2 linked regions of the Schizosaccharomyces pombe genome follow. The gene in region 2 interacts genetically with the main gene of each other region. Each region holds a gene or a part of one and is shown on either strand. Other genes may lie near its edges.

The links. A genetic interaction does not mean that the proteins touch.
Region 1: of nhe1 (region 2) and trk1, changing one enhances a phenotype caused by changing the other (phenotypic enhancement), as found in Schizosaccharomyces pombe (one study listed by BioGRID).

What each region holds. Positions count from the first base shown.
Region 1 is NC_003424.3:2,816,364-2,823,497, reverse strand, and holds trk1 (plasma membrane potassium ion transmembrane transporter Trk1), read left to right. Parts: upstream 1-2,426; 5' UTR 2,427-2,716; coding exon 2,717-5,242; 3' UTR 5,243-5,312; coding exon of another isoform or gene 5,313-5,420; 3' UTR 5,421-5,460; downstream 5,461-7,134. Other genes in the region: glycine--tRNA (Gly) ligase Grs1, read right to left, coding at 54-2,012; MCM complex subunit Mcm5, read right to left, coding at 5,313-5,420, 5,461-5,833, 5,875-7,134. UniProt on the Schizosaccharomyces pombe protein: Together with TRK2, defines the major, high-affinity potassium influx transport system. Involved in maintenance of the proper sodium/potassium ratio in the cell and in regulating the plasma membrane potential.
Region 2 is NC_003424.3:49,188-55,085, reverse strand, and holds nhe1 (plasma membrane/prospore membrane sodium ion/proton antiporter Nhe1/Sod2), read right to left. Parts: upstream 3,098-5,898; 5' UTR 2,970-3,097; coding exon 2,846-2,969; exon of another isoform or gene 2,769-2,845; coding exon 1,486-2,768; 3' UTR 1,228-1,485; downstream 1-1,227. UniProt on the Schizosaccharomyces pombe protein: Sodium export from cell, takes up external protons in exchange for internal sodium ions. Involved in regulation of pH.

The DNA of each region.
Region 1 (7,134 bases), 2.8 Mb from region 2:
ATAATACAATTAGTAAGTTATTTACTTTCCAGTATACTAGTGAGTTAAGTAACCTATTCTTGTGTAGACTTAAACTCTCCAAACTTAGCTAGTGCATCTTCAAAAGATGATTTTCCCTCGACCATAGAAACAAGAGCAGCAATAACTTCATCTTGACTACCACGAACTTGCTTAGTAGAATCACGTTCGCGAAGTGTAATAGTTTCGTTTTGAAGAGTCTCAAAGTCTACAGTCAACCCGAAGGGAGTTCCCAATTCATCGTTACGAGCATAGCGACGGCCAATATTGGCATTAGAATCGTCTATTTTATTAGAAATGCCAAGATTGCGAAGTTTGGCAGACAATTTCTTTACAAAAGGAGCGAACTCAGCATTGCGGCTCAAAGGAACAATGAGGGCCTTAATAGGTGCGATAGAAGCAGGGAAGGACAAAACACCACGGTTTACGTCTTCTGGTCTAGTCCAATAAGCATGTTCCATGAGTACATACAAGATTCTGCCTAATCCAAAGGATGGCTCGATAACATTAGGAGTATAAGTACGAATGTGTTCAGTATGCTTTCTCTTCTCAATTGTGACGAGATCAGATTCTACTGTATGCTCAACACCATTAACATTAACAATAATTTTACCTTCAGCAACAAGTTGAGCACTTTTTTCAACTTTTTCCGATTCCGGCCACGAAATCATAGCTTCCTCAACAGCCTTGGCATCACGTTTGAAACGTGGACCAAATTTTTTGCGATTAACTTCAACCTCGAATTGTTCAACAACAACAGGTTCAGGAAGAGCCTCTTGAACTACTAAAGGAGTCTTGGTAGCTTTACTGTGAACGCTAAGATCATAGGCACTACGATCAGCGCAACCTACACACTCGATCCAGCCGTAAGAGCATTGAATTTCGGCATCCCAGCAATCGCAAGCATAATGAGCCATTTCATTGCTCATATGTTGCCTAAAACGAACACGGTTCATATCAATACCAATTTTCTCCAAGAATAAGCTGATACGGGCCATAAAATAACCTAATGTAGTGTTATCAACAATTCCTTTCTTGACAGCATCACCTATGGGCATTTCCAAAATGTCAGTCTTTCCTTCTAATTGGACACCACGGGGCAACAAACGAAGGGGCATATGAGAAACCTCGTCAAATCTATCATGCTCTTTGTTTTTAGGATCGACAAAGTGTTCGACTTCGGCCATCAAAAACTCACGAACACGAAGCAGGCCACTCCGAGGAGAAATCTCATTACGGAAGGCTTTACCAACCATAGCACTGGCAAAGGGAACTTTGCCGTTATTAAACTCCAATAAACGGCTAAAGTTTAAAAATTGTCCTTGGGCAGTTTCAGGTCGGAGGTAACCTTTCAGACCACCACTGGGACCAATTTGAGTTTCAAACATTAAGTTGAACTGACGAGGGGTTTCAAGCTCACCGTTGGTTGCAGGGTTACGAATGTCATACTTCTTCATGAGCTCACCTAATTGATCTCCATCATAGTTGTCAATTTGGGCAAGAATAAACTCGTATTCCTCAACAGTCTTGTCATCCAGACGAGTCGCACGAATTTCCTTTACCTTCTTCTTACGCTTCTTCTTGTCATCAGATTCTTCAGGCTGGTCATTGGAATTCTGCCCACGAGCTTCCTTGTCACCCTTCAAACGGGCTTCCAAAACCTCTTCAACCAAGTGGTCGGCACGAAAGATTTCACCGGTAGCAGGGTCCTTACACATCCAATCTGCAAACTTATCAACATGCCCACTAGTCTTCAAAACTTCATGAGGAGTAAGCATGGAGCAATCAACCTCCAGCATGCTTTCTTCGATAACAAAGTGCTTTCGCCAAATATCAACCAGATTAGATTGAAGTGCACTACCTGGTGGGCCATAATCATACAATCCACTAATTCCACCATAGATTTGAAAAGAAGGAGAGAAGAAGAATCTCTTCTTCATTAACTCCTCGAACTGAGTTCGATCAAAAGCTGCTGCCTTTGAAACTTCTGTCATTTTTCTACTGAAAATCCGTTTAGCAAAGGCTGTGCAAGAAGAACGAAACGCTTGAAAAGAAATTATGCAAGCAAGGAGCGAAAAGCTTTAAAATGCCTGCTTTTCGCCTGGTTTTCAAATGTTTACGGAAGATAAACTGTTCAAAGCTAGAAATTTTGCTAGTTCGTAAAATTCATAGATAGTGCATTTTGTTAGGCTACATCAATTCATATTATGCGTTGTTATGCGAACTTTTGGACTTTCCTTAATTTAAATACGGTACCTGTAAAAAGTACTTGAACACTCTAAATCTTGTTAACATTTTTTACGGAACAACAACGATTTATGTTAAAGATCGTCAACAATCTCACTTCACTGCCCAAAGCGTACAACATGGTCGAAGTATAGGCTGAAACTTTGAACCGCTTAGAAACTACCTTCTACGGGAAAGAAGACGCGATTTTACGTTGTATTATAAGAGAGGAATCCTCAAGTATTGTTGAAAGGAATCGTCAAAGATTGGGTAAAAATGTCGTTTGTCATTTGTCATAATTCCCTTTTAGAAATTTAGTGGTTTCCTCATCAGTATCGCTTTTACCCGTAGATTTCAAAACTAATTGCTTCTTATCTTGTCCATAGTTAAGGATTTCCGTTAACTTCAAACCAATTTCTCTGTTTCTTGTTCTGTTGTTGGTGGGTTTGGCTGGAAGTATTGACTAAAATAAATGGTCCTAAATTACATTCAAAGATGGTTCAAGTGGGTGATACCAACTTTTGGATTCTTGGCAATTCATTATATTTACATTATATCCTTAACTATCATTGCCTCTATCCTACTTTTTACCGGAGGGACCACCACGAAAATCAAGTATATCGATGCTTTATTCTTAGCTAGCAGCGCAACTACCCAAACAGGCCTTAACAGTGTTGACTTAAATTCTTTATCTATCTGGCAGCAGTTTATCCTGTATGGATTTACTGCTATTACGGTTCCTATATGGATGCACGGAAGTATTTCCTTCATCCGGCTGTATTGGTTTCGACGAAAATTTAAAGACGTTGTTCGTCAAAATCGTACTCGAAAATTTCAGAGAAAGCTCCGTAAAAGCTTAATGAAAAAAAGCGAGGATGACGAAGAACAGGGTGTTCGTGGTAGAAAAATTCGTGTAATGTTACCATACCTACATTCACTAAGGAGTCCAACGTCTCTAAAAAACTTCTCGAGATTTGACACGCATGACAGTACGAACAATCCGTACTTTCCTGACAACCCCCCTTCTCCCAAGGCAGATATATCTAAAGACGAGTATTTTGGAAAGTATCTCCCAAAAAAGTCTGATACGCTAGACATGGATTTGGAAAGTCACAACATGACTTTTCATGACTATGAACCTTCCATTGAAAATAAAAATTACGATTTTGGTAGTTCGCATTCAGCCTCGATGCAAATGTATGAAATGGATGACCTTCATCCCCGACTTCGTAGACAAAGCTCTTTTATTTCCTCCGTTAATCCTTTAGAGGCTGACGACACCCGTGAAACTTTATCTGAAGGCGCCTTAGTTCAGGAATCTCTCCCTATGGCTTATAGTTATTCTGATACTAATTTGGTTGTATCGAGGGATTCATTTACTCTCACTGGGGACGACAATCTTTTCCCAGAAGGTGGTTTAAGGCCTGCCAATACAATAGACGGAATAGTAAGGTCGTCTCTGTCTTCTTCCTCCCTATCTAAAGACACTGAACCATCGACAGTTGACATGCATATTGCTTTCACCGGACTTAATAAGCCCACCATAGAGCGTGAACGTAATCTTAAACTTAGAAAAAAAAGTCGTTTTTATAAAAAATCTTTACGTTCCAGATTTTCGCGAGGACTTCATCGTCCAATACGTTGGACAAAGTCATTCACTTCTAACCGACGAAACTTGACTCTTGAACGAGTCCTTTCTTCTGCCTTTGCTAAAAAACGTGAGCCTTCTATTTCATCAAGACACACTACTATGTCACTTCCCTATTTGTCGTATAATCCTACTGTCGATCGTAATTCTGCTTTCGTTGCTTTGTCTAAAGAACAGCGGGACGAGCTGGGTGGAATTGAATATAGAGCTTTGAAATGCGTCTGCTCCATGGTTACCCTTTATTTTATCATTTTTAATATTGCTGCCTTTGTGACCTTCATTGTTTTTGCTTATACGGCAGTGGGATCGCGAGAGGTAATAGATTCTTATGACTTACGTCGTGGGTGGTGGGCGTTATTCTCGTCTGCTTCTTCATTTAATGATTTGGGGTTTTCTTTAATACCATCGTCTTTTGTGCCAATGAATCGAAACATTTTTCTTTTGTTGATTTCATCTTTATTCATTATCGCAGGTAACACGGGATTCCCTTGTTTTTTTAGAACATTCATTTGGACAACGTATAAGCTATACCCTTTTAGTTTTGAGAAGAAAGAAGCTATGGCATTTCTCCTTGATCATCCTCGACGATGTTTCACTTTATTGTTTCCATCTGGAGCAACCTGGGTCTTGTTTTTTGTTTTGCTGCTGCTTAATGTCATTGATCTGGTATTGTTCATGGTCTTAGATACTGGAAGTAAAGCAGTCGCTAGCCTTCCTAAAGGTATTAGGGTTGTAAATGCAATATTTCAATCAGTTTGTACAAGAACCGCAGGATTCACGAGTGTATCAATTAGTGAACTTCACCCAGCAGTACTGGTCAGTTACATGGTTATGATGTATATTTCTGTTTATCCAGTTGCTATCAACATGAGAAATACCAATGTTTATGAGGAGCGATCTTTGGGTGTTTACAGAACTGAAGATGATGAGGGGAAATCTTTCTTAAAAGATCACCTTACTGAACAATTAAGTTACGATTTATGGTATATTTTTCTAGGGCTATTCATCATATGCATTTGTGAAGGAGGTAAAATCTCCAATCCTCTAGATACCGATTTCAGTATTTTTACTGTCCTTTTTGAAGTAGTCTCTGCTTACGGTACGGTGGGACTTAGTACTGGATTAAGCTCCTCAAATTGTTCACTTTCAGCAAGATTTACTACTATAAGTAAACTAGTTATTATAGCACTTGAACTGCGCGGTAGACATAGAGGTTTACCCAGGGCTGTTGATCGAGCCATCCTTCTTCCTTCTGAAAAAAATAATCTGAAAGAAGAAGAAGATTATCAACGTCGTCACGGATTTTCCATAGACAACGCACGTGGCAGTATTGCAGTTTCTCGAGACTGATATTTCTTATCACGATCATGTATTATATTTGTAAATTATATCATCTAATAAATAGTACGCTCGCTAAATTTCATACTCCTGATCGATACACCGTTTGTCCGCCATTTCTGAGTTGAATTGTTTCCTTCGACGAAAGAATTTGTAAAGCCATTTCTAACGCGTGTTGTGAATATCCATGCTAAAATTATGTTAGACTTAGATTTAATCAATAAACATACCCCATTTACGTATTCTCGTATAAGCATACGGTAACTCGCCTGAAACCCTATAGGTAACCTTTTTCTTAAGCTGGCTTCAATTTTTTTTACTTCCTCAGTAACTTCAGGCGAACTTTGTGTAGCAGCAGCAAGTGTACTGGTCAAAAACAGTCGAATCGCTTCAGTAGCGTGAGCTTCAGAAGCAATAGGTGATAATGACATTTTTGCAAGGGATTCAGTAATTCGTATGATTGCCTCTAATTGACGAACAGTGATTGGAATGGTAGAACGCGAGTTACTGTCCTGCTCTGACTGATGAACACGTTTTCGAATTGCGACAAATTGACTAGATAGCTTTTCAGCTGCCTCTGCATCAAGATTAGGTGCACATTTGCTAAATCCATTAGTAACTAATATTAAATTTGGTATACTTACTGTCTACAATAGTTTATGTACCGCCGAAACTTATCAAAAGGAATTTCTCCAATTGCTAAAGTCTCACTAGATTCTTGTAAATTGGTATGAAGATTAATAACGTGACGGGCAATATTTCGATCCTTTGTTTCATCATGTTCATCCTTAACAATAAATATCATGTCGAATCTTGAAAGAATCGTAGATTGAAAATCAATGTTTTCACCTGGTGTCTTCATATCATCGTATCGGCCAAAAATTGGATTAGCAGCAGCTAAAACGGATGTCCTAGAATTCAATATAGTAGTGATACCGGCTTTAGCTATTGAAATAGTTTGTTGCTCCATTGCTTCGTGAATAGCAACACGATCTTCATCCCTCATTTTATCAAATTCATCAATACAGACAATGCCACCATCAGCAAGAACCATTGCGCCACCTTCAAGGTAAAATTCTCTGGTAACTGAGTCTCTTTGAATAGAAGCAGTCAAACCAGCAGCACTTGAACCTTTACCGGAAGTATAAACAGCGATGGGGGCCAGTCGCTCAACGAATTTCAAAAATTGAGATTTCGCAGTACCAGGATCACCAAGAAGTAAAACATTAATGTCACCACGAAGGCGCATACCATCGGGGAGAATTTTTTTAGAACCTGAAAAAAGTAGGCATGCAATAGCTTTCTTGATGTCTACATTACCATAAATAGCGGGAGATATGCTGTTGGATATAATATCGTACAAATTCGGAGTACGAGAAATTTCAAGGAACTCCTCTTCTTCCTCTTCACTAAATAAAGGAGTAGATTTAGAGCCATCATTTGAATCCATTTGAATACCCACGACTCTGATATAAGGGTTCCGAATGGCCACGGCACCACTAGCTTTAACAGACTTATTTTGAAAAATAGAAAAAATGCCAGTAATAACGCAGCGGGTTCCCGGAGTAATTTGGTTAGTTAAATAGCGATCAGCATTCAATAATATATGACGAGGCAACTCACCGACAGGAACCATATCAGGAGCTTCCTGTAGTTTAAGCACCTGCTGATCGATAAAAGTCGATTTTGAATGATCAATAATGAAAGGATCCATCGGGCAGTCTTTTTTTTCACCATCGAGAACAGGAGCTTCACAAACTCTAGGAAGCTGAACACCTGAAAATCCACCAGAAATCTGTAAAATCCTGGTAGCCCTACAATTTCTGCATACTAAGTGCAAAGCAGTTGCACGGCAGGAAAGTGTTGAAGCACCGATGATGATACCAGGCACTCTAACCAGTTTT
Region 2 (5,898 bases):
AAAATTCTTTCAAAAAGACTTAAAGCCGGCGATTTGAGGTCTAATTTTTATCTCAAGGTACATGTTTATAATTGCATCTCTATTAAAGTTTCTATGATCCAGCGTTGAAATGTAACTTGCTTGTAATTAAAAATGTAAGCGCTTCTTTGAAGTGCATCGTTTTTTTTTGTTGCTATTTTACTTGCAACTACTACATCGTTAGAGTATTACGTACTTTTTAAAACTTCCCTATGTCAGCTACGCAGTTTGGTATCTGTTTAACGATTCATTGAATTGCGGTGAGTTTTTCTTGCGACCTACAATACAGCGATATGCAATATGTTCAAATAACACTATTATAATTATTATAATAACGAGTATTTGTATCGATCACCGATATCCCTATAGCTAATAACTGAACTGAGGAACTAGGTTCAATTGATCTCTATTTATAGAGCTTGAAAAAGCTATAATTTTAACTGATAGTTTCTTACCATAAATGGTAATAAATTTATCTTGATAACTTATTATTTACAGTTGATAGAGCAAATAGAACATGTGGCATATAACGCAACGTAGAGTCATAACGTATTGTAATATTGCTGACATTTACGATATGATAAACTGCGGGGTGTTTCTCTGCAAAACATATGTATATATTTGGGATGAAGTTATGTTTAGTGAGAATTTATTGGTGCTAAAACTCAGTCCATACCGATTACTGTGTAATTATATTCTAGCTCATCTAAATAGATTGCAACTAAATTGGGAGCACCGGTTCAGTCGTACTTAGTTAATAACTGATCTAGGAGGAGATATTCAATACTTCATCTACTTCCAAAAGCTTTATACATACTTTGAAGCTACCTACTAATAGAAACACTATTTAAATATTACCAAGTCTTATAGTAGTTAGGCCCTTTGAAGTACGTTGATGTGTTTTAGTAGGTGAGATTTATCAAGTTTTAATTTGATTGCTATTTATATACACAAAGTAGCTATTGATTTTCCGTTTTCTTAGTTTCTTACATAAAATAGTATTAGTTTGTATAATTACAACAACAAATAATAAAATATTAGGTGATCCAAAGTAGACTTTGATGAAGCGTAAGGTGTTTCGTAAGATTGGTATTGTTTGAAGCGAACGAATATTGGTAAGTTTTAGCCATCAAAATAAATTACAAATTAAATAACGATTTGTACTTTTCTCAGTATCTTGATCAGTTTTAGAAATTATACAATATTTTTAGAGTAGTAAGAAAATAAATGAATTATAGAAGCCGAAAATTACTCTATTGTAGATAATATATATGTACAACAAAAATATACACTCCATCCCTGTTGGTGGTTAGCCTTGTGATTCTGAGAATCACTTATCTTATAGTATATATCAACTATAGAAGGAATTTCAAAATATGAGTGCAGTAATCTTTTTGACCAGAGACAGCGATTCACAATACATTTGAAAATAATTTGGAAATCCGAATTGACATTAAAAGAGCTTTCCTAAACGTAATCTTCCTGTGACTTATCAACCCCTATTACTTGTAACTCCAAATCGGAATCGGACTTGGTGACTTTTCGATTTAAATACAGACTTTTTAACTTTCCCCAAATCACTAATACATGGATACTGAAACCATGAACAATGATTGAGGATAAGATAACAAACGAAATGATCGGCCAAATTATTTCATTAAGTGTTGAAAATACTGTAGTTGATTCATAAATACTCTTTTCAATTTCATCCGGGGACAACAGTAATTTTGCAAGAAATGCCATATAAACTGCGCAAACCCCTATTGGTCCGAAATGTCCAACGAAAAGGGCTTCTTTCCATGTCTTAATGTCCGGAACTAAAGGCTTCACCGAAAATACAACCGGTAATCGACGACAAACTAGAGTCAATATGCTAAAGACAATTAAACGCCAAACAGGCAAGCCTTCAACAGACCAATTAAAATTATTCCAGGGAATGATTGTACCATAATAGGTAAAAAATAGTAAACTAAAAGTCTGATCAATAAAAGCAGGTACAGAACAAGCAGATATATTTTTGGAAAATAAATCATTCCAGTTAAATAATATTCCAGCAAAAAAGGACATCAACAGGTCATCAACTCCAATAATAGTTCCTATCCCAGAACATAATAAAGGTATCGCTAGCGGAAGGGAATAATAACTAATAGCATCAATTAAACGGTATTTCTGAGCGTGCTTTAAAATGAACGATAAAAGATACCCTATTACACACCCAAAAAATATACCAAATGCACATTCATACAACACAACAAGCAGCACCCAATCCCTCCCTGCATTCCTCGATGGCTTAACAGTAAGAAGTTTGATAGCAAAATAGAAAAAAGGAACCGCCATTCCATCATTACATCCAGACTCAGCGATCAATAAAGACCGAATCCGTTCAGGAGTCTTTTTAGCTAATGGACCTTCTCCTACAATCAATGCTGATAGAACAGGATCAGTAGAAGTTATACATCCTGCGATCAGCAAAGATCCTAAAAAGTTAATTTGTGGAAACAATGCATATGCAAATCCAGCTGTAACTAACCACCCGTAAGCCATAACTGGTAATAGCATTACAATGATGCTTCGAAAATTATGTTGAAAATATGCACCGGGGAGTTCTATTGCAGAAGCAAACACACGCACATCAAGTACGATTCTACAAATCTCTACTGTCAAGTAATCTCCATGGTCACCCCAGGAAAAAGGGTCTACGAGTTTAGCAGCATGAGGCCCAAATATTAATCCAGTGATACTTCCAAGAACTACACACTAGTATTAGTCTTATTTTATATCAATTGCTAATTTTCAAAAACCACCCTATACAATATCTTCAACGTACCAGCTTCTCCAACTAGTAATTTTTTTCGAAAAACTTCTGAAAAATAGCAGAAAAATGTTATAAATCCCCCGGCCACTATTAAAGCTAAATGGACTTTGTCTATATCAAGTTGTCTCCAGCCCATAGTAATTAGGCAATATCCACAAGAGAATGTTTTCTTGTAATAAATTCCTATAATATTTTTTTTAGAGTATTCGACATAAAATGTGGCAAAAGATACAGTTAGCCACGGACTGATGCGTGCATGCCTGTGGTTTATACTTGAGGACCGGGGTACCTTAGTTATCTTTTTGATTGGAGTAACAAAGCTTGTTACTTGGGTTTTAACGCTTATCAACTTAAAAAACATGCCTTTTAAGTAACTATTCAATTTTAAATTCACTGAGACTGATTAAGCACATTTGAGGTGGGCTGTTATATTATTTTTTTTTATACAATTTTAGCAGGATAGTGAATTGTAAATATTGTGCGATTGTTATACATCGTATGTTTATATAAATTTAGCACCATTAAATTGATTGAAAGGGTGTTGTGTACTCACTTGTAAGCTATTAATACCTCGGCAGCAAAAAGCTTTGATTATAACTTAGCTAAAAAGACCTGATTGGATTAAGGCATTTTATCTCAATATGACATAAGTGGCAATAAATCAAAAATATTGAAAATTCTTTCTATAGGATTTGATTACTAGTGTAACAGAAGTCAATCTTTTATACTACTTAAAAAAGGAAGTAGTGAGCATAAAACAAGCACTCTTGTAATTCAACCATATGTAGAGTTAAATTAGCAATGAAAAACTGTATGGGATTAACGAGAACGACGAAATTACACAAATATCCAGTTGACACGTTCTGTCAAAGGAATTGCCAGGCCTATAATCACATTGGTGGGGGAAACTTGTTAATTGATGAGATAACGGCCAAGGTATTGACTACCGAACACAGAAGGAATTTGGTATTTCGATTACGGGCAGGAGAAAAGTCATGAGCGAATGTTTGAACTTGTTCTTTTTCAGTGGACAATTTCTCCTCATGAACAACTTAGGAAGAATTCAAGAGCTCCTTTCATGTCAAATAAAACGAGAAACACTTTACGTTTAAATGAATCATTTGCTTTCATGCACAATGTGGTGGCAAGGTTAGTTACATAGACACAACCGAGTCTCACCCCATGAGTTGCAGATCCAGAATATAGAGCGTTTAAGGCCACTCGCTTACTTAATATCAAATTTCATACTATTTAGACTTTTATAAAAGACGATTTTCATTACTTCTAGCCTTTAAACAATAAACCGTTGTTATATATGAATATATATTATTTTCGCTGTAAAGCAAGCCTAATTTTTTACTTAGCTTGAACAAACGAGACTATAATTTGATGAGGTCAGCCCTAATCGTACCCAACAGATTGGTCACTGAATTTTTCGTATATTGTAATATCTGCCATTGAGCTAATTAATTTAAGAGGATAACAACCGAGACTTTATACAATTCTTTTTATTTTTTTATAGTAATAAAGAAATGTCATTTTTAAATATTTCTTTAAAAGCGCTGTTGATTGCATGTCATCTAGTACACTAGCTAGTTAACCCACTGTACCTAATGATACAGGATTGTAAACCTTATCAATTGGTCCAAAGACATAAGAATTTCGATAGTGAAGAGGGCCTGATATGTTTAATGAAACATGTCTTTCACCTAAAGTACGAGCTTAGCATCGTGGCTATAATATTTCTGAATGCACATTCATCATTTGGTAACGTAGCCTGATGGTACAGTACTAGAGTATCCAACGTACAAAGATTTATTTGGTACTATTACTGAACGTTTGTACTGCATTTCAGCATTCAAAAAGTAGGAGCTTCGATAAGCAACGCTGTTTGAATACAAGACTTATCTTGGCGGTGAAAAAAAGCTGTAAATGGCATTGCTAAAAATATGATATTAAAAAAAAAGCGAGTAGATAAAATGACCGATAAAATAGATATAAATAAATAGGAAAATACGAATTCTACTCTACAATTTTACTCTTATTGTGTAACAAATCACGCTGAAGTATCGCGGATGAGTAACTTGGCCAACTGACGCATGTATAGACAACTAAAGTTTATCTGCATATGTCAAAATGTTACTTGAAAATAAAAAAGGTCATAAACGAGCAGCGAAATTAAATCTGCACTTGCGAAACCGCGCACTATTATACTATTTATCTCCAACAAAAATAATTATTATACTGCTTAATAAATTATACGTTGCATAATAACAATATTTTCCATACAGCGTTTTCCCGTTCACTCTTTGCGGCGCCTCGCAAATAGCCAGATTTATATGAAATTGTTTATTTAAAAAGTCAAACAGAGAAAAATAAACATAGAACAAAACGCAAGGCGTACTACAATACGTCTTAAGTGTTGTAATCAACCTTGCAAAACATTATTTAACTTGTGCTAGAATACGTAAATCCGTTGTAAAATACAATGTAATCTATGCTGTGTAACCGGGCAGGCATCGTTCAAGCTACACATTTCTAAAACAAAAGTGACAAGAGGTGCAATTGTTTGTAAAGTTTATGTTGGTATCGCATAATGTCAAGAAGCAGAAAGGCAGTAGGAAAGCGATACTAAATAACGATTGACGGTAAAGAATATTGAATAAAATTGTTTATTTTTCAATCAAGCCAATGAAAAAAACAATAATCCAAAATAGAATAAATATAAATATAATCACTAACACTTTAAAATAAGCCCGAAGTAAAATTGGTTACACTCATTCCATCAATCAATTTGAAACAATATCGAATATAATTTACCAGCATATTTTTGTAAATGATTATAATTCTTAGGTTTTGGTAAGGGGTGGGATGAGAATATAAAAACTACAGTAAGTTAACGATTGATCAGACAGATGATTGATGAAATACGATGCATAAAACTAGAATAAACTAATCATTAACTTACACGATTTCATCTCCAACTTGAAGAAAAAGTAGAACAAATAAAAAGGCATCACAAGCTGCCATACAAAAACTATCAAACTTTGTTCAGCTAAATGTTT